Astyanax mexicanus: one gene and its partners. The main gene of each other region encodes a partner of the protein of the gene in region 3 in a complex. Links are inferred from orthologs where the notes say so. Each region holds a gene or a part of one and is shown on either strand. Other genes may lie near its edges.

Region 1 (7,297 bases), on a different chromosome or scaffold from region 3:
ACCTGAAAACTGGGGCGTGCAATATTATTCAGCCCCCTTGTGTTAATACTTTGTAGCACCACCTTTTGCTGCCATTACAGCTGCAAGTCGCTTGGGGTCTTTCTCTTTATCAGTTTTGCACATCGAGAGACTGAAGTTTTTGCCCATTTTTTCTTGCAAAAAAAGGCTCGAGCTCAGTCAGGTTGGATGGTTTGTGAACAGCAGTTCCACTTCACGATTGTGTCCCACTTGTTGTTGATTCTTCACAAAAAATTACAATTTCATATCTTCATGTTTGAAGCCTGACATGTGGCAAAAGGATGAAAAGTTCAAGTTCAGAATACTTTTGCAAGGCATTGTAGGTAACACCACAAACACAACACAACTTTGAACTCACCTGCAGTTTCTGCCTCTCGATCATCACGAGGATTGTTGAGCTTCTCCAACAGACTCGAACACAGTTTATTCATAGTCTGGATCTGTTTCTGTTTAAACAAACAAACAAACCACTGATTAGTTTTCAGTACTGTTACAGGAAGACAAAAAATATATAAATAAATGTAAGCTGACCACTGAGAAGCAGGGCACTCATAAAAGATATTATCATCACTGATCAACAGTAAATTTTATTTTAAATTTCATTTCTAAATTAAGGAAGCAGAGTCTGGAGGAAGAGTGGAGAGACACACAGTCCAAACTGCTCGAGGTCGAGGTGTGAAGTTTCCACCAATCAGTGATGGTTTGGAGAGACATGTCATCTGCTGGTGTTGATCCACTGTGTTTTATTAAGTTCAGAGGGTTTCATGCTTCCCTCTGCTACTGACAACTTTTATGGAGATGCGGATTTCATTTTCCAGCAGGACTTGGCACACTGCCCTTACTGCCAAAAGTACCAACTGGTCTTATAATATAATGTGTATATAATATAAGCCATTATCATCAACAATAAAATAAATAAATGCTTAAAATAGATCACTCTGTGTTTAATACATCTAAATAATATAAGAGTTTCACATTTTTCAACTGAATTACTGAAACACAGTAACTTTTTAATAATATTCTACTTTTATAGATGCACTAATACATACACAGAGTTAGTTATTAAAGTAATATTGATATATGGAGCAATAGCAATATGAAACACAAAAACAACATAGAAGTAGGTTTTCAAATACATTTCATCTCATGTGACAGTACAGTGTATGGTTGTTAATGCAGTACCTGAGCTACTTCAGGTCCAATCCTGGCAGCTTCTACACTCAGCTGTTTCTCCTGCTCCTCCACTTCCGGGTCCGGTTTTGTCCGGAGGTGATCCGGAACAATCTCATGACTGAACACAGGCACCCTCTGCTCTGTGAGTTTCTGAATAGAAGGAACACAAATTAGGATGTAATTTAGCCCCTGTTTACAGACATATATCGATATCATAACGATATCAGAAAGAGATACAGATACTAACCGCTAAATCTTCGTCTCTATCTGGCGACAGCAGCAGAGGAATGATGACTTGGTTCCGGTAAGATGGAGTTTTCTCATTTCTTAACAGTTTATTCACTGTGTTTAACTGCCCTGACAAAAGGGCAAAGTTGTCCAGCACTGAAGGCCTGTGATAAACGAAACACATCTGCATGAGCAGTTATCAATAGCAATATAGTTATCTATGGCTATTTAATGTATATATTTACATGTAATGTAAGCCATGACCTGATACTCACCATGTTAATCTGTCATATTCATTTTCCAGCTTATAGATGAAGCTCTGCAGAGAATTCTTCAGATGTGCAACGCGAGAAATCAGAGACTCCACAGACGCCTCCAACTGCTTCTCTTCTCTTTGCTGAAAAAAAAAAGAAAACGATTTTCAGACCACATGTTAAAATCTCTTATTTTAAACTAGAATGCTGGTCTATTTTGAACCCCATTCGGTTTGCATATATGCATTATTGTGATCAAAAATCTGCATTTGTTTATATTTCTTATTTGTGCAGATAAAAACAGCAATTTTACCAAAAAACATTTAACTATACAAAAACATTTAACTATACAAAAACATTTAACTAAATAAGTGGGCAAACTAATTGATTAAGAAAACACTTTATCTGGGGAGCTCCTGCTGCTGTTCCTCACTGTATGAGTTTTTTTTTTTTAGAGTGAAATAGAAGCAATTATTCACTCAGGAACAGAGACTGAATTTATTGAATATATATTTTTTACTGGAGAAAGAAGGGGAATAGTGGCTGATTTTAATACTGTAATGCCTCTAACGGCTTCAATTGTGCAATAGAGCTTTTGAGGATTATCTCTTTTTGAATACTTAAACATTAAGTATTTTAGTTCTATTTATAGTGTTTATGGAACTATTTAAAATATTTATTTTATTAATATTTATGGTGTAATTTTGTAGGACAAAGTAAACCCAATAGTAATCAAGCCCTTAATTTAAAGCCCAAATGTTTATTTAATATGTACATCTAACAGTAAAATAAGGCAGACAGCTATATAAAAGCCCTGATATAAATTTGTTGGTCACACCGCCCATTACTAATATTAGTCACAATAAGTTTTTTGGGGGATATATGGACATGGTCTCTTTACAGTGAAGTTCAACTACGATGAGCCATAATTACATTTAGTTAACAATGTATTGCTAAAATCTGAGATCATACGTACTACAGAGAACCTGAATTAAAGTTTATATCAGTAAGAGTGGAATTAAGAGGAGATTTTAGGCTTGTTTTATTATTAAATCTAAGGAACACAGGCTAACCTGCATACAGCGCTTTTACACACAGTAAACTCGCCTAAACACACACTAACATCAATTCAGCCCCCGAATAACACCTTCAGAAGTTATGTAGGAATGACCCTGACGGTACTAATAAGCGGTAAAAAATAATAAAATTACAAAATATTTCAGTTTTACCTGCATCTTTATTCACAAGCAGCGCAGCTCCCAACCACCAAACACCAGAAATACCGGAAACACAGAGCCCAGACATCCCGCTTTGCAAAACACAAAAAGAAGTCCCCTCTAATACGTTCATGTATCACCATTATCAATATGTTATATGTCTCATTTAATCTTTTTTGTCATTCATTTTAAAATGATGAAGTCTTATTTTGGTCTCTAGTATGAATGAATGGAATTTCTCCCAAATTCCAAATAAAAATATATAATTTAGAACATTTTTTGCAGAAATTGAGCAATGGCTGAAATAAAAAAAATAAAAATATTTGGTAAAATCAAATAATTTTTAAGTGGTCTCTTATTTTTTTCAAGAGTTGTATGCTTTAATATGACTTCAATATGCTTTGACCGGATGAGGACTTTTATTTTGACATTATTTAAATCACTAGTGGTGTTCACTGTTTAGCGCTCCGGAGGAGTTGTTTAGCTTTATGCTAAGCTAACTGCAGACAGCTGGGCGAACTTGGCGGTGATAAATAGAAATAAAAATACCAGCAGCGCTAATTTAATTTATTCTGTTAACAGAAGCTGAAGGGGAAGCAGAGAATTCGCCAGTAATGCGAAACCAGGCATGGCAGACAGGCCGGACTCTGAGGTAAAGCCGCGCTAATGCTGTTTATGTGTTTACTCTGCTCTGCTGAACTTGTTTACTGACAGTCTTGTGATTTATAAATCATTACAGAGGCTGGGTCAGTTACTGCTTAGTTAAAGAAAGTGTATTTCAGAGCTCTGCGTGTCTAAAACTTAATATTTCTGCTGTGAAAAATATAAATTTTAACTTTTAGGGGATGTTTATTATAAAACTAATTTACTCTAAACCTGGTCAGACATGGGAAAGGCAGTTTATAGCTTTTTATAGCAGTTTTCATCTGAATAAAGCAAAAAGAAGTAACATAAATATAAAAAGATGAGAACCAGTGTTTAGAAAATTAAATATAATGTTGTAGTAGCTATATAAGTCCACTAAACACACACACACACACACACACACACACACACACACACAATATCCTGTCATATTAGCTTGCCAGTGTTGTTTACCAGCCCCTCCCTAAAGTGGTTCCCACATCTCACTGCAATGTTCAGATTTTTAAAAAAAGCAAGAAGTCTCATATAGTAAATCTCTGCACAAGCATGTATTTATTGATTTATTTATTTGAACCCTCAAGTAATTTAATCTACTTTCTATAAACCCATAACGTTAATTATGTGAAGAGAGATAACAGTTTTTAATCCACTGGTTCATGCAGTGACTTGCAGCTGCCTGATAAATTGCTATTTGTTTATTTTCTTTATCAGCTGACCTTTATAATAGTCTCGTTATAGATTTGTTAGCTACAGAGGTGTGCTCTTATTTTAGAGAGCCCTCATTTTGTACTCTTCACCTTCACCGCCTGTTTTTAACACTTTTACTTAGGCCTGTCACAATATATTGTTCCAGAAAAATGATCATGATAAACACTAATATAGTTGTATTATGACCATTAAATACTTGTGGTTGGTGTGTTGCAGTGGATAACTGGGGGTTATTTCTCAATCTGGGTGAGTTATATATTATATATAATATAAGTGGCATTTGAATGGTCTTAAAATGACTGTAATATTGTTTATCGCAATAGTTTCCGGGACACTATATCTTCCACAAAATATTGGTATCGTGGCAGGCCTAGTGATACGGTATTGCTAATTTGCTGGTGTTAATTCTCTTTATTTGGTGTTAATCTTTATTTAAGCTTGTGTTTACAATAAGGTGGAGGCCCACCTTATTTATTCTTTTTTACAAAAAGAATAAACACATAACCTAAACAATAGCACTGTTATAGTGATCATATAAATCATAATTGTCTGTGATGCTGCACTTGAACATATCTGTGGTGTTTTTTTTTTTTTTTGTAAAAACCTGGCTGTGTTTTCTCTGCAGGTGGAGGAGGCAGACCAGGTTTACCTGTTGATGAAAGAAGATTACCACATATCAAGAAATGTGCGTCTATCCTGGTTCCTCAGCAAGTTAAACCAGGTCATCCGGCCGTCCCCAAAGTCTGAGCTGGTACGTGATCGGGCAGAATGGTACTGAATAGAGTCACTGTGTCATATTTGATTATTTTAATGTTTTTGATAGATAATGTTAAAATGCATAGAATAGAAATGGTATGTATGCTTGGCCTACGTGAGATTAGCCTACAGGTAATTTGTTGTTAGGGCTGCATGATAGAAATAACATCATTTATTTAAATGATATATATTTAAATATTGCGAAAATAGAGTGAAATATAAAAAATAACTATGAACTATAAATATTAAAGATGCTATGATAAATATGTGCTATGGATTGTTTTTGATACACAATTCCTATGCAATTAGGATACATTACAATTTAGTTACATATTTTTTTATTTTAAATGAAAAATTAATGTACATCTTCTACAGAGGCACTTTTGCACATTCTAAAGCATACAGTAATTACTTGTACTCCTTATTTTGGCTTAAAGTCACATTCAGGGTGTTATGTTTGAATTGATAATACAGTATATTACATTTATTACTGATTTAAATAGACTTAGATAAAAAGAGTAAATAAATGTCAGTAATCAGGAAAAATATGTTGTGCTTGTAGCTCAAATCAGAGAATGAACTGGATATTCTCAGTATTCTGCCAAAAGGATGGCAGCCGGATTCTCCTCACACCTCCATGCCGTACCTGCTGGTGCCGTCCACACGGGTCACCTTCCTGGCCCGGCGGTACCGCTTTATCATTGAGCTGGACCTCAGCCCCTCCACCGGGATTGTGGTAAAGTTGCTTGTTTGGCTCAAACCATCCATTAATCTTCTAACTCCATTAATTATCTTTTTTTTTTCTTCATTAAACTGTGTGTGTGTGTGTGTTTAGTGCAAACCTTGATTAAAGATAAGGCTGGAGCAGCAGTCTCACATTTTCAATTTAAATTATTGTATTAATATGCAGCGCCTGGAGATCACAAAGTGAATGGGGTGCTATGGTAACAACTATCTATATGGGGTATCACACTAGCTTTTTTCCAACACCTGACCGACCATATGGGTTATTGTATGAACAGTTGCAGCTGAATGCCATGACAATCCTCTTCACAACATTATGGCACACATCTTGTGTTCACATAGCAACACCATAGCAACCAGCCAAGAACCTCTTACATGTAGCAGCTTTGTCATTGTTATTGGGTGGTTACTGCGGTGAATGATGGCACTTGTTAGGTGCCATAGCATAGCATAGCATTTGCCACATGGAATACCGTACCTTGTGCGACACCTCTCAGCCACACCATAGCAACCACCTGAGCAAACATTTAAGAAAGATATGGTAACCACCGAGGAATGCAACCCCTTAGCAACACCTTAGCAGCCATCTAGGATACCATAGCAACCACCTAACAACCACCTGAGATAGTCAATATCTAGCAACAAATGGAAACCATTTAGGAAAGACGTATCAACCATCTGGGTAGTAAAATCCACTTATATATATATATATATATATATATATATATATTTTAGTCAGTGATGTAAAGCTACAGCAGTATAATAGGCTGTTTTTTTCCTTACGTTTGATGTGATTGTGATTCTCTGTGTTGTGCAGGATGACAGCACAGGCGAGATGATCTTTGATGAAGTCTTCCATGCCCTCTCGAGATGTCTGGCTGGACTGGCTGCTCCGTTTAAAATTCCCGGCACAGACTTCCTGTTTCAGCCTGAAATCTTCATCACCATCCTGGCATACTCCTCCATCGTCGGCCTCAGCTCACACCAGGTCATTACATCACACTTCCCTCTAATCACTTGGATTAAGAGCGGATGACATCACACTTTCAGTATGACACACGTTTCTCTCTACTGCGATCAACCACCTAGTAATGGTTGACCATGGCAGCTACCAAGCCACATCACTGCAACAACTGGAAACCACTTTAGCTGTGCAACCAATCTACTTTTCCTGCAGAAAATGCTTTTTTCTATGATTTGTCTATTTTAAGGTGGGCACAGGTTGTAAGTGCAAGATAAGCTTTATTTAAGGTGCTCTGAGAGCTGTAGTCATTAATACACTTAATATCAAGATAGACAGTGATCAAACACATACTAAACTTAAATAAAGTATTAATTAAAGTATACAAAAACTAGATTAGGCTCTCTAGATTGATTAAATGTTTAAATCCTGTATAGCAGGAGACAAATTATATGGCTAAGGATAGATTACAGTATCTCAGAAGTACTTTATTGTGATTGTGATAAAACGTCTTTATTGTTTTATTTTTGTTGTTGTGTTGAGGCTTTGTGTTTAAATTTTAATCCTGTTCTTCAGGTGTTGGTTCAGGGAAG
Region 2 (7,893 bases), on a different chromosome or scaffold from region 3:
TTCCCTGCTGACCTTTAAGAAGGTAAACTAGTTCATGATCAGCAAAGCTCTCTGGTTCCATGTTGTCACACAGACCTCTTAGACGATGGAGGAGACTGTCTAAGGACTGGTCCAGCACACTGCCTATGGAGTGCAGAATACAGTATTAATTTCAGAAATACAGTAATACTACAGATAAAGTAATAATAAAGTAATACTACAGATCATCAAAACAGTGTTGACCAAGTCAAATGATGCTGATAATTCTTTTTAAAAAATATTTAATTGTTCTATACTTTTGTTTGTTTTTGTATGTTGTACTTGTTCTTGGGGAAAAAAGGAAAAGGAAAAGATATTCACAAAAAAAAAACAATTCCAATATCGCTAAAATTTAAAGATTCAAACCAGTCCTAAATATATAGAGCGCATTAATAGTATTGTAACACGTTAGATCATTACCTTTGGTTTCAACCTCAATTAGGGATTGGCCATATCATACTCTATGCAATAATACTGGCAAATCAAATACAATAATTTTGTTGCAACAGTGTTTTTTTAATAATTTATTTTATTATCCAAATATTTTGTCACATCGCCAAAAATATTGTTTTCACAAAAATACTTTTAGGGCCCCATTGCCCACCTCTACAAATATGTAAATGGAATTACATGTAATCATCAAAATAACCTGCCTGGAATGAAAAAGGTAAATGCAAAATATTCTACAATAATTGTACAAATCTAGTTTTAAGCTGGTTGCAGCTGTTCATTTCAACACAGCCCTGTTCCATCCCTTCCCAGTTATGCTAAAGATCACATGTGTACATCTATCCGTTTTGTAGTTAAAGTGTATTTGTAAATGAAAATCTGAGTTTAGAAAGAAAGTTAAACTTCAGAAAAAGTTAGAACTAAACACTAGATGGCGGCGTGGGTACAGGTATCGAAGCTTCATAACGATACAACTGGTTTAACCCGGTTGTTGATAATCATTTGGAATCATTGTAATGACCATGCCTCGCTGAAACAGCGGAGAAACGGGATCGACAGCTGAAAACAGACAGTATCTTACCCTGCAGTAAATACTCCATCATGTTTATCGTGCCCCCGGTAACGGGCATCACGGTGACCGGCGGGGCTTCCATCACTCACCCGGGGAGTTACAGTTACCTTCAACTTCTGTAAAAAAAATTAAACACAGCATTAAATCAACGTAGGTTAAATTAGCTAGTTAAGTAGATAAAAGAGTGCTAGACCCGAAAGTAGTTAGGTTACAGGTTAGTAATCAAAGGCTGTTTGTTAGCTTGAGCAAACAATAAAATGAAAGGTGTCTGAAAAATTGGTTTTCACATTTTTTGGGGGTTTTACACACAAATATATAGCTTAAAACAATATAGTAAGTATATGTAGCGTGGTCAGTGTCAGCCAATGGATAATCAATAATAATCTATCTATCTATCTATCTATCTATCTATATATATATAAAAAAAATAAGAGACCACTTCAGTTTCTGAATAAGTGTCTCTGATTTTTCTATTTATAGGTAGTTTATTCTATAAACTACGGACAACATTTCTCCCAAATTCAAAATAACAATACTGTCATGTAGAGCATTTATGTGCAGAAAATGAGAAATGGCTGAAACAACAAAAAAAGATGCAGAATTTCCAGAACTCAAATAATGCAAAGAAAACAAGTTCATATTCATAAAGTTTTAAGAGTTCAGAAATCAAAATTTGTTGGAATAACCCTGTTTTTTAATCACAGCTTTCAAGCACCTTGGCATGATCTCCACCAGTCTTACACACTGCTTTTGGATAACTTTATGCCACTCCTCCTGCAAAATTCAAGCAGTTTAGCTTGGTTTGATGACTTGTGATCATCCATCTTCCACTTGATTATATTCCAGAGGTTTTCAATTTGGTAAAATAATAATAATAAAAAAAACTTTTTAAGTGGTCTCTTATTTTTTTTCCAGAGCTGTATATATACGGTGACTGGCGGGGCTCCCATTACTCAAACAGCTAGTTAACTACTACTTCTGTGAAAAATTAAAAACATCATTAAGTACAGCATTAAATAAACGTAGGTTAGCTGGTTAACTAGATAAAAGAGTGATAGATAAATATTAAGTGACCCTAAAGTAGCTAGGTTACAGGTTAGTAATCAAAGGCTGTTTGTGGTCACGATGAGCTAGTTAGCGTTAGCTCGTTAACTCTAGTTAAGTTATTAATATACTACCCTTAAATAAACCAGGAACAAATGTAACATTTAAACTAGCAGTTAAATACTTTTTATTTTGGTAAATTAGTGTTTTAAAAGGTCCTGGTGTGCCTGTCTCTGTGTGTGTGTTACTCAAATGTTACAGCACAGTGGCGCCACTGCACTGGAGGTGTGTGTGAGAAAGACGAGGCCTAAACGAAACAAGTAAATAATTCAGAAAGATAGACAAATACTACAAACCCAGCTCTGAATATAACACATACCGGCTCTGTGTAAAGAGGAAAGCGTGAAATATTCAGCCTATAACGTCTTAACCGTCAGTTATCTGACTGACCGGCTGTGTAACACTGCTGTCTGTGCACTCTGTTGTCGCTTAGCCTGCTAGCGCTTTCATTGTCAGGGTTGCCAGGTCCACCATAAATACTCAAAGTCAGTCTAAATCCCGGCCTTCAGAAGCTTAACCTAGCCCAAAATATTAAATATTTCTGTCTTACATTCGACGCAAATGGCAAAACAACTACGACTTAGTATTTTATATTTATAATATATTTATTATCAGTATTGCTATTTACCTTAAAGTCATTAATATTGTATTTTTGTATTGTATTTTTTTTGTATTATTGTGTTTTATTAGTTCTTTCATAACAGTTTTATATCCCAGACAAGAACATTTAATAGTAACATAATTAGCAAAAAAAAAAAAACTTGACTTACTCATTTATGTTTCTTTCCCATCCTGAACTCCCTTCTATCCTCTTTAACCTTTTTTTCATCGCGGGGTGATTTCTGGTTAGATTGTGTGTTTTTTTTTCTTTTTTGTGACTTTTTTGGCGAGCGCGGTAATTTTTAAAAAGTAGCCCAAACAATGCACCCCGCCACCCCTAAATTTTCATCCGCGAGTGGATTTTGAAACAAGCCCAATTTGGCTGAAAAACCGCGAAACTGGCAACTCTGTTCGTTGTAGAGGTACAGGCTTTGCGCATGCGCGTACATTTGGGTTGCCAAATTTGTAAAAACAGCACAACACAATGTCCTCAAACGTGTAAACTTTTACAATATATATATATATTAAATGTTGTATTAGTTCAATATAATTGTAATGTACAGGAAAATAGCAAATTAATCAATCTTAACAAAAAACGAAAAAAAAAAAACAAAAAAAAAACAAAGAAAGCAACCAATACAGAAGAAAATGAAGAAGAAATGTTACATATGAAGAAGTGACATTTTTAAGTCCATAAGCAAATTTTATGTTGCGCCATATTAAATTTCAGGAATTATCATATAAACCTTGGTGTTTTACTTTATATTGTGTGTGTGTTTGCATGCATGTGTGTTAGACCAGTACAATCAGTAGAGCACCAAGACATTTATATGTGTATGTCTGTGCGTGTGTGAGTGAGCTTGTCTGTTGTTTTCTTTTCTTCACGTGATAATCTTATTCAAGGAGACTTTATTGTCATTCACATCACATGTGGTACAGGTGGAATAAAATTAATAAACTCACGGTCCAATTCCACCAAAAAGGAGCAATTGTTAAGTAAATATAAATAATAAAATATAAAGATAAAAAAATATATATATAAAAAAATGAAAATATAAAGATAAATACACAAAATATAAAGGAGAGTTGGAGAGTAGCAGCAATATGATTTGTCAGTGCAGTTCTGGAATTAAGCTGTTTTTCAGTCTTGTTGTTTTGTACTTGATGCAGCTTCTGCCTGGAGCGGGACATAAAGAGAGGGTGGTGGGTGGTGCAGGTGGCCCTTTTCCTTTGTATGGAGGTGTAGATGTCCATGGTGCTGGGGAGGCAACAATCCCCTGTGCAGCCTTCACCACCCTCTGCAGGGCATTCAATATGATAGACTGTTAATGAATAATCTGTATTCATTTATCAATCATAAATCAATCAGTATTTACTTTAAGCAACTTGTATCCAGTTTGCTTTGAAATCATGTGATGTTAAATCTTTTCTTGATTCAATGTTAAGACATTATCTTGTTCTTCAAAAGAACATTGCATGCCGTACAATGTGAGTGTGTGACTCCTTTATGACTAAGTATAGAAGATCAAACAAATGTTCTTTTTAAATAATGTCATTTTAAAGGTTAGATGGGCTTAAAAAATACAGTATGTAACAGAAGTGAGTTATTAATTCATTTTATTAATATTTACTTTTTCATAGGACAACAATGAAGATATGCCAATTTGATACAATTTAAAATAGTCAGTGTACATCTTGTATAACGGTGTACGTTTGCTGCACCCTCAAAATAACTCAACACACAGCTATTTATTTATGTCTAAATCGCTGTTACCAAAAGTAAGTACACCCATAAGAGAAAAAGTGCTTGCATACATGTCTTGGTGAGTTTGCTTTTTTTACTCTCCAGTGTTTGCTTGTGTGTATGTGTTTGCTTATATGTGTGTATATGTATGTGTGTGCTCATATGTGTGTATATTTGCTTATGTGTGGATGCCTGTGTGTGTGTTTACCTGGAGATTCATGTTTCTGTATAGGTTTAAGTTTATGTGAGTATGTGTATGTTTGAGCGCACTTGTGTGTCTGTGTGTGTGTGTGGAAATGTTGGGGGTGGGATTTTGAAAGTTACTATGCCATACATTCAGATATGCTGATATTCACTAACATTGTGTAAACAAATCTGTGAAATGAATGCACTGGAAAAAGTTAAGAGACCACTTCAGTTTCTGAATCAGTTTGTCTGATTTTGCTATTTATAGGTACATGTTAAATGTAAAATGAACATTTTTGTTTTATTTTATAAACTATGGACAACATTTCTACCAAAATCCAAATAAATATATTGTCATTTATATGGCTTGTAATCATCCATCTTTCTCTTGATTATGTTCTATTCTTGATTGATTATGAGATTTTCAATTTGGTAAAATCAAAGAAACACATAATTTTAAGTGGTATCTTTTCCAGAGCTGTATATATATATATATATATATATATATATATATATATATATATATATATATATATATATATATTTAAAATGTATCACCTCACAGTTATCTATTTGCACCATATTTGTCATGCTATATGGAAAAAGAGTTTTTGAAGCTCCACCCACATGGATTGACATGTTATGTCATTAATACATGACATGCATTTGCAAATGCTTTTATTCATTGTTTGATGCCAATTTTATGTATATCACTTGAATGATATAGCATTTAGTCATTTTAGTGTTTAAAAAGTTAAGCAGCACGTTTTGGTGCCAGCTCAAAGGTAAAATTGCTGAAATTGTTTAACCTCAGTAAACAAGTGATGTAAACTTTATTGTATTGTTTTTTTTATTTAAGAAAGGTAGCAAACTGGTAAGTTTTTCTTGCTTTGGTGCCATACACTTTGGTTTATGTGCTCATAAATATGATCGAATAGGCAAATACAATCTCCACTGGGCTACAGGTCAAAACATCAGTGTTACTAGAACTGGGCCCAGAAAAAAACTACAGTTCTTACTTCCTGTGTTCCCAGAAATTTTAAAAAGCAAATTTGGAGATTTTGTCTTTTTGCAAACACAACTGAGTGAGAAAAAACTAGAAGATGTCTTACAGCAGGGGTGTCAAACTCATTTTGGCCGAGGGCCACATTGGCATATTGGCTGTCCTCCGAGGGCCAGATGTAACTTATAAATGTAATAAAATGTAACCAAATGTAATATATGTAAATGAATGTAATTACTCCTTAATGTTAAATAACTCTCAATATATTATTTATTCAATCAAATATTACAGTTGCATGGAAAAAATGTTTGCTTGTTGCTCTATTAACATAAATCCTTTTAATTTGTCATGTCATGAAACTCCATCAATCAAGAACCAAACTATTCAAGTGAATAGAAATGACATCAAGTTATATTAACTTTGAAATTATTAACTGAAATAAGGCTTAATAAATATAAAATCAAAAATTGTGAGCTGTTAAGAACATAGCATTTCCTCAGATTTAGCAGTTCCTCATCCAACCACTAGTGGGAGCTGCAGCAGCAGCACCACAAGTCCGCAGTCTTTACTGAGTCAGAGCTACAGCCCAGCCACGGGCTACAGGGCTCAGCTCAGCCAGTCTGGAGCGTTTTTAAAAATTTTAAGTTCTTCTGTGTATGAAATAAAGATTTTTGTAACCGAATAATACAGCTCTCTACAGTTCATCTTTCAGCCCAATCAGCTAACAGCAGCCGTTTAGAGCATGAGTCACTGCTGTGATTACATTATAAACAGGTCAGTTATCGCGCTGCTAACCTCAGGATGTTTATAACTACGGAGTTTAGTGGACACACCACGGCTGCAAGGTTAGACTGTTGAAGGCTACTGAAGACTATTAAAGGCTATTGGAGGTTATTGAAAGGGTTATTGAGGGCAGAAATTAGTAAAGGCTGGTTAGATAAGTTATTCACGTCCTCGTACTTTGCTGCGGTGAAACTGCGACTAGCGCTGTCCCAGTGATGTTTATTAACGTCATTAAAACAGATTTTGTCAGCTATTGTCTTATAAATATTTACACAGAACTTATATCTCTCCTAAAAAGCGTTTATTTTGGTCAGTAACACTCTTCGTAACACAAAAGGCATACCGGTCGCCTTGAAGCACAGCCGTCCGTCTGCATCAACTTCTCTTTTTCTGGACATTATGGGATAAACATTTATATGTCTCAATTCCACCCGCGAAGTTACACCTTCCGTCCGGCAGGGTTTCCACATCAATGACTACACTGCCGTGTAGTGGCAGTAAGCCGTAACTTTGCGGGTAATACAATCGACAAGCATTGTGGGAAATGTATTTTTTGGTCAAAGAACGCTTCTGACTTATTTATTATAGACACTAAGATCTTACAAGCTCTCGCGGGCCACATAAAAAGACGTGGCGGGCCACATTTGGCCCGCGGGCCTTGTGTTTGACACATGTGTCTTACAGTGACCACTGTGCATCAAATGGTAAATGCTTCCATGCCCACGCATTTAATTAGTATTCAGATTGAACAGTCAAAAACTTGGTGACAGTATCTTAAATCACACCCTGACTCACAAACATTTCAAAAACACTAACTGATGCCAAGTGGAAATTACCCAAATGACATAAGCGAGCCATATTTAAGATTAAAATGAGTACAGGGCTTTCACCTTTCAGGATTGCTGTTGCCTGTAGAAGAGCGGTGTTCTCACCATGCAGAACCGCTCTAATGTGCACTGCTGAGTGCAAGTTATGGAACATGTGAATAATGTCACTATACTCAATAATGTAACACTGTGTCATGACTGGAGGCATTCTGGTTAGTTGCACGTGTGAGATATTGCTTTAAATGTATCTACTGAATGTGTATGTCTCTAATATCTATAAACTTAAAATGGTTGTGTATAATGTTGGAAAGTATATTATTGTTTACAGTAATTAAACACTTTTTGGTATTATTTAGAACAATTTTAAATGTTTCCTTTTAAAGAACAGTTTAAAGTACAAATAAGTCACAGAGAACAAAATTCATCAAACTGTAATAAATAATTTTTTATTTAATTTTTATTTAACATACATAAATAGAAAAAAACAGAAAAAAATACATAAATAATGTGGTAATTATATTTAAGACACATTTTATGTGTTATTCTTTTCCAATATTGTAACTGTCAAAAAAAAAAAGAAAACAACAAAAATCAGAATTGTCTTGAT
Region 3 (7,905 bases):
AAACACCCAGCTGAACCTGTCTCTCCTTTCCCCAAAGGGTTTTTGTCTGAAACTTGAGTAAACAGATTTGCCTGTGTGTGTGTGTGTAACAAGCAACCCGAGCAATAGCAGCACAACATTCCCAATCAACTACCAACCATACCATACAGTAGCAGCTGGCCATTATGAACTGTCTGCCAAAGCAAGGCATCTCTTTCCTTTCTTTTTTCAATGGCATGATGAATGGTGAGTATGAATCCTGACCACTCCTGACCACCACACCGTGGGGAACAGTACAGTAGCCCTCAAGCTCATTTCATGAGGAGGCAGACTGCCAAAAAAAGAAATGTTAACCTACCTTTCCAAGCCAGCCCAGCTCTCAGGCTCTTTTGGCATGTTAATGATTGGCTAATAACAGTAGGCTACCAGAGATTGCTTCACCTTTGTACCTTGAGAACAGTAGGCTGGTGGTGGGTGGATGGTTGATTGGTCCCTGCCCTCAAGGAGAACCCCACAACCAACACACAGACACACATATACATACATACACACACACACACACACACTTCCAGGCAGTCAGGCACAAACCCCACAAACCCACCCACCCAACACCACCACCACCACACCCCCTCAGCTGCTTCATTCCCCCCTCCAGCCCAATCGCTGCCACTAGCTAGCTAGACTCTATGGGACATAAGTGAGTGTATAGAAGTAGGTTGGTTGACCGTACCAGAGAGAAAAGGTTGGAATGGCAGTCTTCAAGGCTCGCCCCGTTAGCCACCCAGTTCGCTGCTGTAGTCATAATCGTCCGCCGATGGGCTCGTCAGCGTAGGGCATGTCGAGATCCTCGATCGGTATCAGAACCGAGCAGAGGGTTCTGAGAGGGGGTAGTTAGGCAGGTACTTAGGAAGGAAGGTAGGTGGGTAGGTTGGTTGTCGGTTGAAGAAGGTGGATGAACGATTCCTTCAGTAGTAAAGCAAGCAACAAATATAGAAAAATCACGGAGAAAGCCAGCAGACTGAGAGGAACAACGCAGTGTAAACCAGCGGAGGCGTGATTTCTCTCTTTCTCTCTCTCTCTCTCTTTTTTTAAAACACTGTAGCGAATCCGTAGGAATGCCTTAGGGTTTAATTCCTTCCTTCCTTTCTCCGTCTCCGCTTTTTTTTCTTTTCTTCGGGGCGAAAACTGAAAACTAGCGCTAGCACTAACACTTTGTTTCCATCCACACGAGCTCGGGGTGGCTCGGATGCTTCTCGTCAGGCGGCTGAAACCGAATCATTGTCTGTGGCGATGCGGTGGCGGTGGGTATGATGATGATGATCCTCCGTGTGTTTAATCCTCCTAGCCGCCGTGAGATGATTTGACCATCCTTGTCCATGCCAGTTGACTTGTTTTTTGTTTTTTTCTTCTACTACTAATACAATAACTGTAATAGCATATCTATAATCACAGTATATCCTAGTAATCCACGGGAGAAGAAAAAAAATAAATGTAATTCAAAAAAGCAAGAGCCAGGACCAGTTATGCCCTTTCTTTCTTTCCTTCCTTCTCTCCAATCCTCTCGGTTCTTTCTCCTTTTTTCTTGCACACAACAAAAAAAATCCACACAAAAAAGAGGACACGTCTCAATATCGGCGTGCTCCCAGTTCAAGTTTCAGTTTTGTAGCTCGCTATGGCTAGTATAATCCACTGAAGCGTCTCTGTTTAGGAACAATACAGAAGCGCGGAGCGAGTGAGCGGACTCCATTGACTCCCCCACAGCCCTCCATATATGAGAGAAGGCGGCAAAAAACACACACACTCACACACACAGACTGAGGAGAGAGAGCGATAGATAGAGAGAGGGGGCACACGAGAGAAAATGATACTAGCTGGCTAACGTCGATGTAGTTTCTCTCCCTCTCTTTGGAGCTATTTATAGAGCCGTCCTCACTCTTCCCCTGATACGCGAGCAACAACACAGTCTGGCTTCTGAGCAAGGGAGGAAGGAAGAATGGTGAAAAATCCTCGTTTCACTTTGCAACTAACGCAAGCTAGCTAACCCCAGCTAGTTAACTAGCGTTCTGGAGGAGCTAAAAATAAAAACCTGACCCTCCTCTTCTTGTCCTCACTCTCTCACTCCCTCCCTCACTCTCTTTCTTTCTCTCTCTTTATCAGTCTCTCAGTCACCCAGTCACAGAAAGAGAGAGACTAGGGAAGGAGGTAACGTTAGTTAGCCACCTAGCGAAGACAACAAACGAACATGTTTAACCAGCTAAAGAAACCTTATTAGCTATGCAGTTAGTTAAGATAACTAGTTAGTCAGCTAACCTAGCTAGCTAACGCAAAGCTAGTTAACCTGTTTAGCTAGTTAAAACAATAAGAAAACAACATTAAGCTAACATTAACGCTAGCTAACAACAACAGCAGCAGCAGCCGTAGCAACAAACAGCAGCAGCAACTGCAATCTTCCTTAGCTACCAAACCTAGCTTAGCTTTCTTAGATAAGCTAAAAACCAACAAACAGAAGAGAAAGGAAAAAAACTGAAGAGAAAGGGGAAAAAACTTCCTTCCTTTCTCTGGTTATAAACATAACTAGCTAGTTAGCTAAGTAGAACGAAATTACGAAATAACGTAACGTCCTCTCCCGGAGATATTTCTCTCTTTCTCTCTCTCTCGCCAGTTTCTCTTCTTCTTGTTCTCCTTCTTCTTCTTGTAGAAGTAAAGCTAAATAAAATCAAACAAAAGCCAGAAACGAGTCCGAGTCGCTGACAGACAGATAGATAACTAAGATACAGGATAAGCTAGATAAGGAACAGATCCACCGCCGATAGCTCCAGTCACCGAGTAAACACGGCCGTCTGACGAGCCTCCTCAGCTATCTGCCCTGCTCGAGTCGGCCAGAAATCACACAGCGAGCTCTCTCCGAAAGCGTCCACGGCGTGCCATCCGTCACTGTTGCACTGTTTAGCCGCTGTTTCCCCGAGTCGCCGAGAGCTGCCGAGCGCGAGCGAGAGGTTCCGAGCGCTTCCGAGACACTCCGAGGACAAATCGAACAGAGCGAGGCTCCTGGATCCTTAAAAAAAAACACACACAACACACGCGACGCACGCTCTGTGTTTGGATGGAGGCTATGCAAATAGAGGGGTCTTACTTTATGTGTGTGTATGTGTGTTTTAGAGAGACAGTGTGTTTGTGAGAAACGGTGTAGCTTATGTGTGTGTATGTATGTGTTTGTGTGTGTGAGAGAAATAGATAATTGTTTTCTAGAAATTGTTAATTTCTACACTTTAGAAATTGTTAATCTCTGAGACAGTCCACTATTATTTACTGTTAAAACTGTATAACTCAGGCATTGGCAACAGAAATGTATCACTATTTATCATGCCAATAAAGCACATTGAATTGAATTAAATTGAGAGAGAGAGAGGCTGTGTGTGAGAGAGAGAAACAGTGTAGCCTATTTGTGTGTATGTGTGTAACTTTGTGTAAATATGTGTGTATGTGTGTAAGAGAGAGAGAAACAGTGTAGCATATGTGTGTGTGACTTTGTGTTTGTGTGTGTGTAAGAGAGAGATATTGTATTTGTGAGGAAAAGTGTAGCCACTGTGTGTGACTGTGTATATGTATGTGTGTGAGAGAGACAGAGATACTGTAGATGTGACAAACAGTGTAGCCTATATGTGTGTGTCTGTGACTTTTTTATGTGTGTGTGTCTGTGTGAGAGTGAGAGAGAGGCAGAGACAGAGAGATAGAGACGGTGTGTGTGTGAGAAACAGTGTAGTGTGTGTGTGCTTACGCTAACAGTCGCTGGCAGCTTTTCGCGCTATTCGACAGCCCACCACGCATAGCTATGTAATGGCGGCCGCCAGGCTTCGACAGAGACTCGCTTTCCTATTTGGCAAAGTAGAGCACAAAAAAAGCACGTGATCAAAGCAAAGGGATTACAGCAGCGTTTTCAGCCTCTTTTGATAGAAAAAAGAGAGAGAGAGAGAGAGAGGGACAGAACCTCATCTCGACGCTAGAGGCGCTGATACCCAATTAAACACACCATAAGCAGAAGAAAAAAAAAGAAAAGAAAATACAAAACAGAGAGGAAAAAAGAAAGAAAAAAGATGAAAAAGCAGAAGAAGATAAAGGCATGCTCCCTCTAATATGCCACTGTGTTTTAGATGAAGATGAAGTGTGTCAGACCTTCTGTGTGTCAAGTCCAAGCACAAAAGTCATTTTGCAGACTAATAAAAAATGAGTTTTTACATGAGTTTTTAATGTAGTGTGTAAACTTTCCAAGCAGTACAGTTCTATGGTGATATCATGTAAAAAAAAAAAATAGTAACATGTGGCGATGACTTATTAAAGCGTTAATGATGTCATTCCCATGCCTTAAGAAGTCGTCCCCATGACTTAATTATTTTGTTCCCATGCCTTAATAAGTTGGGACCATGACTTAATTATTTTGTTCCCACGTCTTAATAGGTTGTCCCCACAACTAAATATCTCATTTAGATAGGCACTATTAGTGTTGAGCGTATTAAAAATCTACACAGTCAATTTGTCAGACTGTGATTGTGTAGTTATTACCATCCTGTATGGCAAGCATATATTTTGATATATTTTAAGTTCAGCACCCCACTGACTGACAATGTTGATACATCCAGATCATTTTAATGCACAATAATCTAATTTAACTAGCTCATTCACCAACTATATTATAAATGCACAGAGACTTTTATTTGAAAAAATAATGACGGCAGTTATTACAAATATAATAATGACTAGGTCTGAAATAAAATGATTTAATTGAAAATGAATGAATACTCTTTTCTAATCTACTTTATAAAAGAAAACAAAAGTATCTGGCAAGTCTCCCAGAAAATGCTGAGAAAAATGCCAATAACCAGCTTTGCCATTAGTAAGCCAACATTGGTCAGCTACCTTCTTTCTGCCAGAGATGAGATTAGCTTCCATTCTGAAACTTTTCCATGTTTCCATTGAGTTCCTGAGCAATTTAAAATAACTGAAAAATGTTTCTAAATAAGTTAGATTAAGAAAGAATCCAAACAAACAAATAAACAGTAATTACAGCCATATATTGTTTGTGAAAGAATAGGATGTATGACTGTGTTTAGAATGATCATGTGCATATTCTTTTCCTCTGAATTTGGATGTGAAAGGGTTAAAGAGGATATGAACCTAACCATGTCTTATGATTGACAGGAATGACACAGCTTCCACATTTATCATCAGCTGATGAAGGAGTGCACATATTAAAAAGATAACTCTCCATATCTCTGCTGAGCAATTGCATCATGTATAAGAAAATTACACCCATAACACTTTACAGTATGAATTCCTATCTCATTACTTCACTGCTTACTTTTTGCAAGAAGGCCAGTAAGATGTCTTTAAACTTGCCAATTCTAAACATGTATTTATATTTACACACTCATAGTAATATGTATCTAACATTTTTTCACAATTAACCCAGCTAAAATAAACATGAAATGTAATAGACAAAAGTAAGATAAAAAACAGAAAAACAGTATCAATTAATTACTATTTTTTGTCATTTGATTGTAAATGCAACACAAATTGTCATAATTCCACTTTACTTAAAGTTTTTTTTATCCTCTTTACCCCAATTTACACAGCCAATTACCCAAGCCACTCATTAGGACTCCCCCTATCACTAGTGATGCCCCAACACCAGGAGGGTGAAGACTCCGGGTGAAGTCAGTCATCGCCTCTTTTCGAACTGCTGCTGATGCGGCATTGCCGAGTAGCATCACACTCAGAGGAAAGCGGAGCGACTTGGTTCTGATTCATCAGCTTACAGATGCCTTGTGCTGATCAGATTCCACCCAGAAAGAGCAAGGCCAATTGTGCTCTCTCGGGGCTCCGGTAGCTGATGGCAAGCTACATAAACAGGATTCGGATAAGAACTGGAGATCTCCCGGTCATAGTGGCTGTGCCTTAGACCGCTGGACCACTCGGAACCCATTTCGTTTGACACCAGCTGTTAGATAGTATAATAAACAGTGCAGTTATATAAGGTGTACTGTCATAACCTATTAACATATTGTAATAAAGTTGTTATACACTGTTATGAAATAAACTACAATGTACACTTTACACTACAATGAACATTTTACAGACAAAAATACTGAGATACCTGCTTATTCACTGTTCTCTGTTATTTGAGACATTATGGCAACTGTCTCGACTGTCCAGGGAGGGATTTGTACTAGACTGCTGTGAGGATGATTCCCACCTCTGCAACTAATCCCAAAAGTATTGGATGGAGCACTGCTTCACAACTTATGCTGGAAAGCTTTTTACCTCTCTAGTCCATGTCTGGCATTCAACATAGTGCCAACTGTTTCAGGTATATCTGCTTCAGAGAGTCCTATTCTATTGGCAATACTTCTCTACAGGCTTATGAGAGCCTACCTCAGGGAACAGCTAGGAAAAGGACACTCAGACCTGTATAAACTGTTCCAGTGAGGTCTGATATTCGGTTCCAGATAAATGAGACATTCTGTACCTGAAGTTCTGTTGAAATTTAATCTTCTTTAATCCACAGCATATAATTCCAGACTCCCAGGAATACATCATAGAAGGCATTACCTCCCACAGTGGACAGAGCAGTGTGTGGTTATGATGTGACCAGCGACCTCTGGCTAGAAATGTCAGTGTAAACAGACAAGCAACTCTGGCAGAAATCACAATTACATTTAATGCAGGAGGCCCCACACACATCAGCCTCTATACGACATAGCAAAAGTAATAGGACATGATATTACAGTTCTATGTCCCATGACACCTGGCATGTCAGTGCATATGCTGTACTGAAATTAAGAAATTGAAAATTATACACTGGCTGGCCAAAAAAAAAGTCTCCACCTGGATTTAACCCTCCTATTATCTTTGGGCTCAATCTGACCCCATTCATTGTTTCAAGTCTCTGAAAAAATGGTTGACATTAGTTTTGTAATTCATATTTATTGTCTTTTCTTAATTTAATGAAGACAATTAATAAAAAATAAAAATGTTCAAATGGTTCAAATTTAATGTCTGTTTTATAAAGGCTGTTTTGTTGGCATAAAACATAACAAAAATAACAATATTTGACATATTTGTGTAGTAATAATGTTAAGATCACCATGACGTTCAGTTTTATAAAATTTCTCTAAATGTCCCTTTACTTTAGGCCCTGATTTAACAAAACATTACTTATAATATTTATGCAATACTAATAAAACACTTGATACACACTGGTAAGTAAACTTTGCCAACATGTTTAATGATCTGTAATTATAATAATTTTTTGGAGGTTTAAATTGCTAAGATCATATTAACCAAGAGAATAAAGGATGTTCATATATTTGACGATAGCAGGAAGGTTAACAAAGCAAATGCTACAGTCGGTCAGGTCTAGGTTCAGCAACAGTATGTGCTGAGGTCAGCTGACTACCTGAATATACTGAATATAGACCAGGTTATTAAATCAATGGATTTTTTCTTCCCTGATGGCACGGGCATATTCCAAGATAACAATGCCAGGATTCATGAGGCTGAAAGTGTAAAAAGGTGATTCAGGAAGCATGGGATCATCATTGTCACACATGGATTGTTCACCACAGAGTCCAGACCTTAACCTCATTGAGAATCCTGGAAATGTGCTGGAGAAGACTTTGTGCAGTGGTCAGACTCTACCATCATCATTGCCGCTGCAAGTTCTTGGTGAAAAATTAACGCAACACTGGATTGAAATAAATCTTGTAACAGTGGAGAAGCTTATAGAAACAATACCACAGTAAATGTATACTGCAATCAAAGCTAAAGGTGGTCCAACGAAATATTAGACTCTGTGACTTCTTTTTTTTTTGGCCAGGCAGTGTAAATATACAGATGTGCATACATAGATGTTTGCACAATGACAAAGAA
Region 4 (7,741 bases), on a different chromosome or scaffold from region 3:
TATACCGTGGTATTAAAATGCACGGTTATCATACCGTGTGTGTTTGCTTATTACCGGTAAAACGCAAGCCAGCGGAGAAACTCACCCGCGCATGCGCAACTCTGCTCCGCTTCAGCTACTCAGCACACAGCGGTGAGAATGGCAGAAAGTGCATCAGACTAGAGCTTAGATTCTCTTAGATTCTCTGCCCGAACCAGACCTGGGCCGATATTTCCCACCACATTCCTCAGGCTGGGTCGGGTTGGGCTCCAGAAAATAGTCTGAGATGTAGGCATCTGTTTTTTAATCATATATTTTATTTTTAAATAAAGCTCTGGTGTGATAATCACAATGTTGCTAAGTAACCAATTAATATTGTTAATGAAAACGAACCAAATAATGAAAACTGAAAGTGAAACTTAACTAACTTATTTATAAGCGCTGTTTTCACTCCCGCAGTTCTACAGCGGGAGGTGTTGTGCCGATTCTGTCCGCGAAGCGGGAGTCGGATTCAGCAGGGAGTCGGATTCGGCATAACAGCGGCAGCGCGGCGGCACCTCGCGGTCCGCGGTGTTAGTTGTTAGCGCTCGCGCTAGCCGCAAAATACGACAGAAAACACTGAGAAACTGCAGAATTATGTATGGGACTAAAATATGAGCACGAGGAGATCAAAGAGAACCTTTACCTGTGAGTAGCTCATACAAGAACACGCAAATCTCTCTCTCTCTCTTGTGTCTCTCTCTCTCTCTCTCTCTCTCTCTGTGTCTCTCTCTCGCACGTGAACTTCTCCGCACTGTGTTTAGCTGTTCTTAAAAATCATTTTAATTAAATAATAGTTCTATGCTTCTATGTTAGTGTTAATTAACATAATTCTGATCATATTTCGCTCATTCAAACAGCCCGAAAACAGACTTGTAATCTTGTAATCAACAAGCTTGTAATCAATGTGGCCGTAAAGTCACAGCTAAAGGAGGAAATACACCTGTTCTCCCATCTCCGAGAACACCACCCCGCTGTGCAGCGCAAAGTATGTGTTTAGTTTATAATTTTAATCTGAACCTAAATAAAACCTCTTTGTAGTCGTGCACAACCCATGCGGTAAGCGCCCGCAAAAGCGCTGAGTTATCCGAAATTTGGGCACGCAGGTACAGGCGTGAAGTGCGTGCTACGATGGATTCACGTGTCCGTGTAAAGGTCCTGGCCGGACTGGATGTGAAAGACGCCATTCATTTACATGCGTTCATTTTCAAATTCTGACGTGACTGTTTTTCATATGTTGAAGGTTTTAAGGTGTGAAAGCCTTAAAATAGAAATATCTAATGTGAGGATCATGTCAGATATAAATCCCCTCTTTCTGCAGTATCTGGTTATATACCAACTTTTTTTATATATACACTGCCCTGGTTTCTTTCACCTGATGATGTAGTTTATACAATAAATAGTTAATTGAACAAAAAACCTTTGTTGTCATTTCTTTAAGGGTCAGTTTAATAATATATGTAACAAACTGTGATACCGTGATAACCGTTATCCCGCGGTATTTTCTGAGACGGTTATCATACCGTGAAAATCTCATACCGTTGCAACCCTAACTGCATCACAGAGATCTTTACCACTACACTGCCTTCTGAGACAGTGTGAGCAGTAAAGAAACAAGTAAGCTTTCCTGCCATCCCCTAATTTAAGACTCCAGGGAGTTCTATTCTACTGGCAATCATTTTCTACAGGAATTGTACTGTAGCTCCATAAGTGTGTGTATTTATTAGGATTTCAACATCCTAATGTGTGCAACTTATAGTACTTTAATGCATTAATTAAAAGGGTGTCCACAAACTATAGCTAAACCCATTACTAAAGCAAGTACCTTCAATAAAAATAGACATTAACAGAAATGTAACTTACAGTTAAGATAATTTGGGTTGGCCAGACATTGAACAAACTCCAGTTCTGACTGAAAGCGGTTTCTTGCTTGCTCCTCTGTATGGAAAGAAAGAGTTTAGAGAACGTTATCATGAATATTGATAACAGTGACCAGCTAGCTATCAGACTTTCAAAATATTCTTACAGAAAACATTAAAACCTGTGAGGTTCTATTCCCCAGTCTGTCAACTTAAAATGTTAGTGTTGATTATTTGTAAATGTGTAACTGCCATGGTGTACACAAAGTGCTGGGGGGGAAAAGCACTGTGGGTAAGGGCACTTAATTTACAGTCAGCTCGGTCTAATCGGCTAATCAAATGTATCAAATACCTAAAAAATTGCTAGTTGCAGCCTTATAAGATATACTTGCCATCAAAGTTAAACTGAATTGATCTGATTTTTTTGCACCAGGAGTGGCACAAGGTTACCCAAAAGCAGTGTGTAAGACTAGTGGAGTAGAATATGCCAAGATGCATGAAAACTTTAATTAAATACCAGCGTTATTCCACCAAATATAGATTTCTGAACTCTTAACACTTTATAGGTGTGAACTTGTTTTCTTCGCATTATTTGAGGTCTGAAAGCTCTGCATCTTTTTTGTTATTTCAGCCATTTCAAATTTTCTGCAAATAAATGCTCTAAATGGCAATATTTATATTTACAATTTGGGAGAAATGTTGTCCGTAGTGTATAGAATAAAACAACAATGTTAAATTTTACTTAAACATATAAGTTACCTATAAATAGCAAAATCAGAGAAACTGACTCAGAAACTGTAGTGGTCTCTTAAATATTTCCAGAGCTGTATATATAAACTTAAGCCACTGAGGGTTAAAGGCAAAATAAGCAAGCTAAGGCTAGGTAGCTAAAGCTAACCGAGCTAAATAAAGAAGTTGCTGCTGGAAAAGCTGTTATACAAACCTGTTTCCAGGACTCCAGCCATCTCACACAGACAAACTAAAACAACAACGACTTAACTAAACCGCTTAAATGCGAATAACAGCTACAAACAAACCGGATTTACTGAAATAATAATATAATTATGCGCTGAAAGCCGTTTTGTGTTGTCTAGCCCAGCGCCATATTCCTCCTACGTAAGTTCCGGGAAGGAACGTGATGACGGTATGGTCAGAGCCAGAGCCCGCCCACTCACACTATACCCCCTTTATATCTGTATATCACTGAGAACCGCTAGAGGGAGCCCTTAAGGGAGTCCTCAATGAATGGGGGTTAATGAAGCTAAACAGCTAAAACTCAAATTAAAAATAGTAATTAACTATTTATCTGTGATATTCATTTCATTTTATAAAGAATAATAAATTATTGTAATAAAACAGCAGATACAATTTACCTTTATATTTTAGTTTTTCTTCAAGAAATGTTTTTTACTGCTACTCTGAGCTGATTGGTTGGTGAGCTGATGCTGGAGATACAGTTCAAAATGAGAACGCGTACAAAATGTTTATAATTAAAGCTTAAAAGCTTTAATCTCGAGTCTGATAAGTTCAGAGTTGCACACATAGCCTTTTTTATAGCCTCTGTATTAGTAATCCTAAAAAATGCTCCCCGGTGCACACTGTTTCCTAAAAGGTATTTTATTGGTAGACAACATGTTGCCTGAAGACGCAAGTAACTCAAAACCGCTAGCATTGGGCTGTAGACGTCTTGGCAGCTACAGCACTAGCTTCATTAGTGCTCCAAGTGTCCTTTTGTGCATCTCCATGTACTCCAAATATGTTCTTCTGGATCTGCAAGTGTCATTTTATAGTGACTTCTATTGAAAGTTAAGAGCATTTTTTCTCATGTAAAGTTGGTGTTTTGAAGTGTTTCTACCATCACAGGGATGATGTATAAAACAGATTAGTTAACTGAAACATATAGTTTATAAATGGTTGGATTCTCCACTGTTACACTGATGTATTTAAGAGTGTAAGAGAGCTTGGGTAATGTAAAACTCTCCACATTAGCAGTGTTGCTTGTTGCTGGAAAAGCACCAAACAGTATCAACACGTTACAGCATAAATAGATGAAAAGAGTATTTATTACTGAATATGAAATGGCACGCCATGCGTAAAAGCGCATCCTGTGCATAAAAGCACGTACCGTGCGTAAAAACGCGTTCCGTGCATAAAAGCACGTACCGTGCGTAAAAACGCATTCCGTGCGTAAAAACGCGTCCTGTGCATAAAAGCACGTACCGTGCGTAAAAACGCGTCCTGTGCGTAAAAACGCGTCCTGTGCGTAAAAGCGCATTCCATGCGTAAAAGCACGCATTCCGTGCGTAAAAACGCGTCCTGTGCGTAAAAGTGCATTCTGTGCGTAAAAACGCGTCCTGTGCGTAAAAGCGCATTCCATGAGTAAAAGCACGCATTCCGTGCGTAAAAACGCGCCCTGTGCATAAAAGTGCATTCTGTGCGTAAAAGCACACATTCCGTGCGTAAAAACGCATTCCGCGCGTAAAAACGCGTCCTGTGCGTAAAAGCGCATCCCGTGCGTAAAGCGCATTTCATGCGTAAAAGCGTGTTACGTGCGTAAAAGCGCATTCCGTGCGTAAAAGTGCATTCCATGCGTAAAAGCACGCCCCGTGCGTAAAAGCGCGCACCTTGCCTAATTAAATTCTTAAAGTTATAGAGAAAAATAAACATAGTCTATAGTATAAACTTATATTATCTGTAATGTACATGTATTCACCTGGACCCTGACTTAAAACAAAAACATGTTCTAGTAGTGTTACAAAAATCATGTTTATTATATGTTTAAAGTAAGTCCTTGATTTATTCTACTCATACTTGAATGAAACGTATCTGTTTCAAACAAAAAAAAAATCTGTTGGCATATTCTAAAATATGACCAGTAGAGGGCAGCACCGCCGTGACTGGTACTGTAGCTCTACACAGTGATTATAATAAAGAATATATTATTAAATAAACTTGAATTGCTGTAACATACAATTGTTTTTATTTCTGTCATACAAAAATCTTCTCACTTTTTGACAATTTTAATTTAACAGGTGTTTTATATACAACCCCAAATCAGAAACACTTGGAACAGTACGGAAAATGCAAATAATAAAAAAACAAAACAAAATTGTCTTACATTTACTTTTGTTTAATTGCAGACAATGTGCACTCAATATTTTTCATGATTTAACTGGTTAACATCAATTAATTTATTAATATACATCCATTCCTGCAACACGTTCCTACCTTGTCATGTTGCCATTTCTTTTTCTAGTCACTGATGATAACAAGCTATAAAATTGTTTCAGGTGTTATTTTGTCCTATACTTCCTGCAGACACGTCTTACAATGTGCAACAACAGTATGGAGTCTTTGTCATTTTTCTTTTTTGTTTTAGATTCGTGTAATGTGTGCAGCATGTAGTTTTGGTCGTGCCTTGAAAAAATGTTGTTTTAAAGGTTGCACTAAGAACTTAGCGTACTTTTCTGCATTAATGCTGCATCACAAAAATGCACTGACACAACCCCATACTGTGATAGACCATGACTTTTGGATTTGATAATGATAATAGTCTGATTGATTCTTTTCATTTTTGAATCAGAGCTCACAGCAACCATTTCTTCCAATAAATATGTGGATTACTGACTTATTTGACCACAAAACATGATTCCACTGTGTGATGATCCACCTGTTGTGATTCTGCATTGAATAGTAAATTTCTGCGTGTCATTTGTGAATGTAAACATTACTGTAAAGTAATCTCTTGTCTACATGGTTCTATCAGCTATTGTTGAATGACGGTTTTTGATGCTGGGCTGTTTGAGGGTTTGATACAGAATTGTTCCAAAATGTACTTCATATAAAAACGTCTTACATTGAATTCCACTGTAGATCTTTTGTTTCTCTGTCTGCATAAGATTTAAAATAAGAACACAGGAAGACACAAAAAATATTAAACTTTTTTAATATTACAAACATTCCATCACATTTGATTTAATATAAGTCGAGACTACCATGTGAAACATATTCAAATTTATATGTAACGTCACATGGCCAAAGGCTGTAATATAAAGAGCCGTCCTGAGCTGTCCTATCTAATCAAAACAAACAGTATTCATATATATTTATGCATATACATGTTTAAAGATAAATAGAAAAATATTTTATTGTATACAAATATGATTCTCAGTCTCACCGGTTTCCATGAGTATCCTTCATAAGGTTTTATGTAATAAATGAAATGTAAAAAATTATTGCCATCACCATCATATTTATATAAGGTAGTTGCTGTACACAGATTATATATTACATCTGTACTGATAAAGTATGTGTATGACACACTGTCACAGTGTATAAGAGCAGGTAAGGATGTGCTGGCTCCTCCAGTGACACCCGTCAGAGGTGTGATGAAGGCGCCACCCTCAGCTTCTTAGCTTTAAGTGCAGTCGAGGGGGCTGCTGTTGGTGTGTGAGTAATCTGTTGTGCTGGCTGTGTGCTGTGTCCAGTCTCTCACACCCCTGTGGTGTTAGCCCAACTGGGAAAGGAGTCCAAGCCAAACAGAGGTCTGCCCCAACTGTTTATCGCCAGGGTGATGCACAGGATACCAATGATGTTCATCACAATACCTGTCCTGGCCTGAGGAGGGAAACGCAGTTTAATACCACATTTATAAAAGATCAAATGTATCAAAAGTAAAAAGATCAAGAGTAAAAATACACTGGCAGTCAAAAATAATAACCCCCAAAAATTGTAAAATAGCAAAAACAGAAACAAAGAGGCAACAATGGCAAAAAAAAGAGTTGTCTTCTTATGCTGATGGCTGTTTTTTAAATTAGTCGCAATAAACTGCTTTACACATTTGCTTTATTGCAGTCAACACACTTCCTATAGTGTCTGGATCAGATTATATTCCCAAATGAAGGATTACAGCAGATCTTTGCGAGACTCCTCTGTCACAGGATACTGAAGTTCCTTGCGAGAAGCATTGGCATGGTTGCAGACATGCATTAAAGCCACTGTTAAACCCAGCTCCAAAACATTTAACTCCACTATCCCTTTCGAGAGTACATTAACCCAGTACAGCGAGTATTAACATAGCAACTCAGCAGAGCTAACAAACACCACTAACCACATAAACTAACAAGAAATACTGACCACATTTAAAGGAATTTTTATTGTAAAGCCCTATCCAGACGGGATAAGTTTCTCAGGGGCATGTCTGTGAAAAATATTTTACACTTCTACTCAGTGATAAAACTCCTGCATCCGGACTGCAATTGAAAAAACAGGAGGACCAGTGAGTTTTTTTTGGCTTTCTCGGTCATGTGACATTGCGTTCAGTAGCTCCTCCGTTTGCACTCACTGTTGTGTTTAGGTGGATCACCATGGAAATGCGCACCCAAATGTAATCACGGTACATAGCAGTAGACAAATAGCTATGTTATTAAACATGAAGTGGCAAAACTCCGAGATGTGCATCTGGACGGGACTTAAAATACCGGAGGACCACAGAGTTCAGTGAAAAACAGTAGGTAATTCAGCCTGTAATTTTCTCTGGACGGGAATAAATTCACAGAAAAGAAAAATTACCCCAGGACCCCCTGAAAAACTAATTCTATCCAGTTAGGGCTTAAGGAATAATGACAGATTACATATGTTCAGAAGTTTGCCTGGAAAGGTTAATGTGGCACCAGGTCCTGCCCTGGATTGGTATGGAATAAAGGAAGATCTGTATTGGCTCCAAAAACTGACAGGTCCCTCTCTACACTCAATATTTCCAAAACAGCTAATTATCAGTGTATGAGAGCAACACTTTTTGACTGCTAGTGTACTTACATTTAACAATTATTTACACTCTCACCACAGATTTCTACTCACCATGT

Evidence for each region.
Region 1: mediator of RNA polymerase II transcription subunit 13-like (region 3) and med8 share a complex: the UniProt entries of both Homo sapiens proteins name them as parts of the mediator complex. The link is inferred for Astyanax mexicanus from reciprocal best matches to the Homo sapiens genes MED13L and MED8.
Region 2: mediator of RNA polymerase II transcription subunit 13-like (region 3) and med18 share a complex: the UniProt entries of both Homo sapiens proteins name them as parts of the mediator complex. The link is inferred for Astyanax mexicanus from reciprocal best matches to the Homo sapiens genes MED13L and MED18.
Region 4: mediator of RNA polymerase II transcription subunit 13-like (region 3) and med31 share a complex: the UniProt entries of both Homo sapiens proteins name them as parts of the mediator complex. The link is inferred for Astyanax mexicanus from reciprocal best matches to the Homo sapiens genes MED13L and MED31.

What each region holds. Positions count from the first base shown.
Region 1 is NC_064412.1:54,815,166-54,822,462, reverse strand, and holds the start of med8 (mediator of RNA polymerase II transcription subunit 8), read right to left. Parts: upstream 3,004-7,297; 5' UTR 2,909-3,003; coding exon 2,903-2,908; intron 1,817-2,902; coding exon 1,695-1,816; intron 1,584-1,694; coding exon 1,439-1,583; intron 1,342-1,438; coding exon 1,201-1,341; intron 465-1,200; coding exon 377-464; intron 1-376. Other genes in the region: KICSTOR complex protein SZT2, read left to right, coding at 3,519-3,542, 4,869-4,994, 5,562-5,735, 6,561-6,731, 7,281-7,297. UniProt on the Homo sapiens protein: Component of the Mediator complex, a coactivator involved in the regulated transcription of nearly all RNA polymerase II-dependent genes.
Region 2 is NC_064413.1:34,556,004-34,563,896, reverse strand, and holds the start of med18 (mediator of RNA polymerase II transcription subunit 18), read right to left. Parts: upstream 3,023-7,893; 5' UTR 2,914-3,022; intron 2,597-2,913; exon of another isoform or gene 2,463-2,596; intron 1,156-2,462; 5' UTR 1,122-1,155; coding exon 1,049-1,121; intron 124-1,048; coding exon 1-123. UniProt on the Homo sapiens protein: Component of the Mediator complex, a coactivator involved in the regulated transcription of nearly all RNA polymerase II-dependent genes.
Region 3 is NC_064408.1:20,292,373-20,300,277, reverse strand, and holds the start of mediator of RNA polymerase II transcription subunit 13-like, read right to left. Parts: upstream 3,019-7,905; 5' UTR 782-3,018; coding exon 710-781; intron 1-709. UniProt on the Homo sapiens protein: Component of the Mediator complex, a coactivator involved in the regulated transcription of nearly all RNA polymerase II-dependent genes.
Region 4 is NC_064424.1:13,288,090-13,295,830, forward strand, and holds the start of med31 (mediator of RNA polymerase II transcription subunit 31), read right to left. Parts: upstream 3,007-7,741; 5' UTR 2,843-3,006; coding exon 2,821-2,842; intron 1,957-2,820; coding exon 1,882-1,956; intron 1-1,881. Other genes in the region: slc13a5a (solute carrier family 13 member 5a), read right to left, coding at 6,369-6,494, 7,737-7,741. UniProt on the Homo sapiens protein: Component of the Mediator complex, a coactivator involved in the regulated transcription of nearly all RNA polymerase II-dependent genes.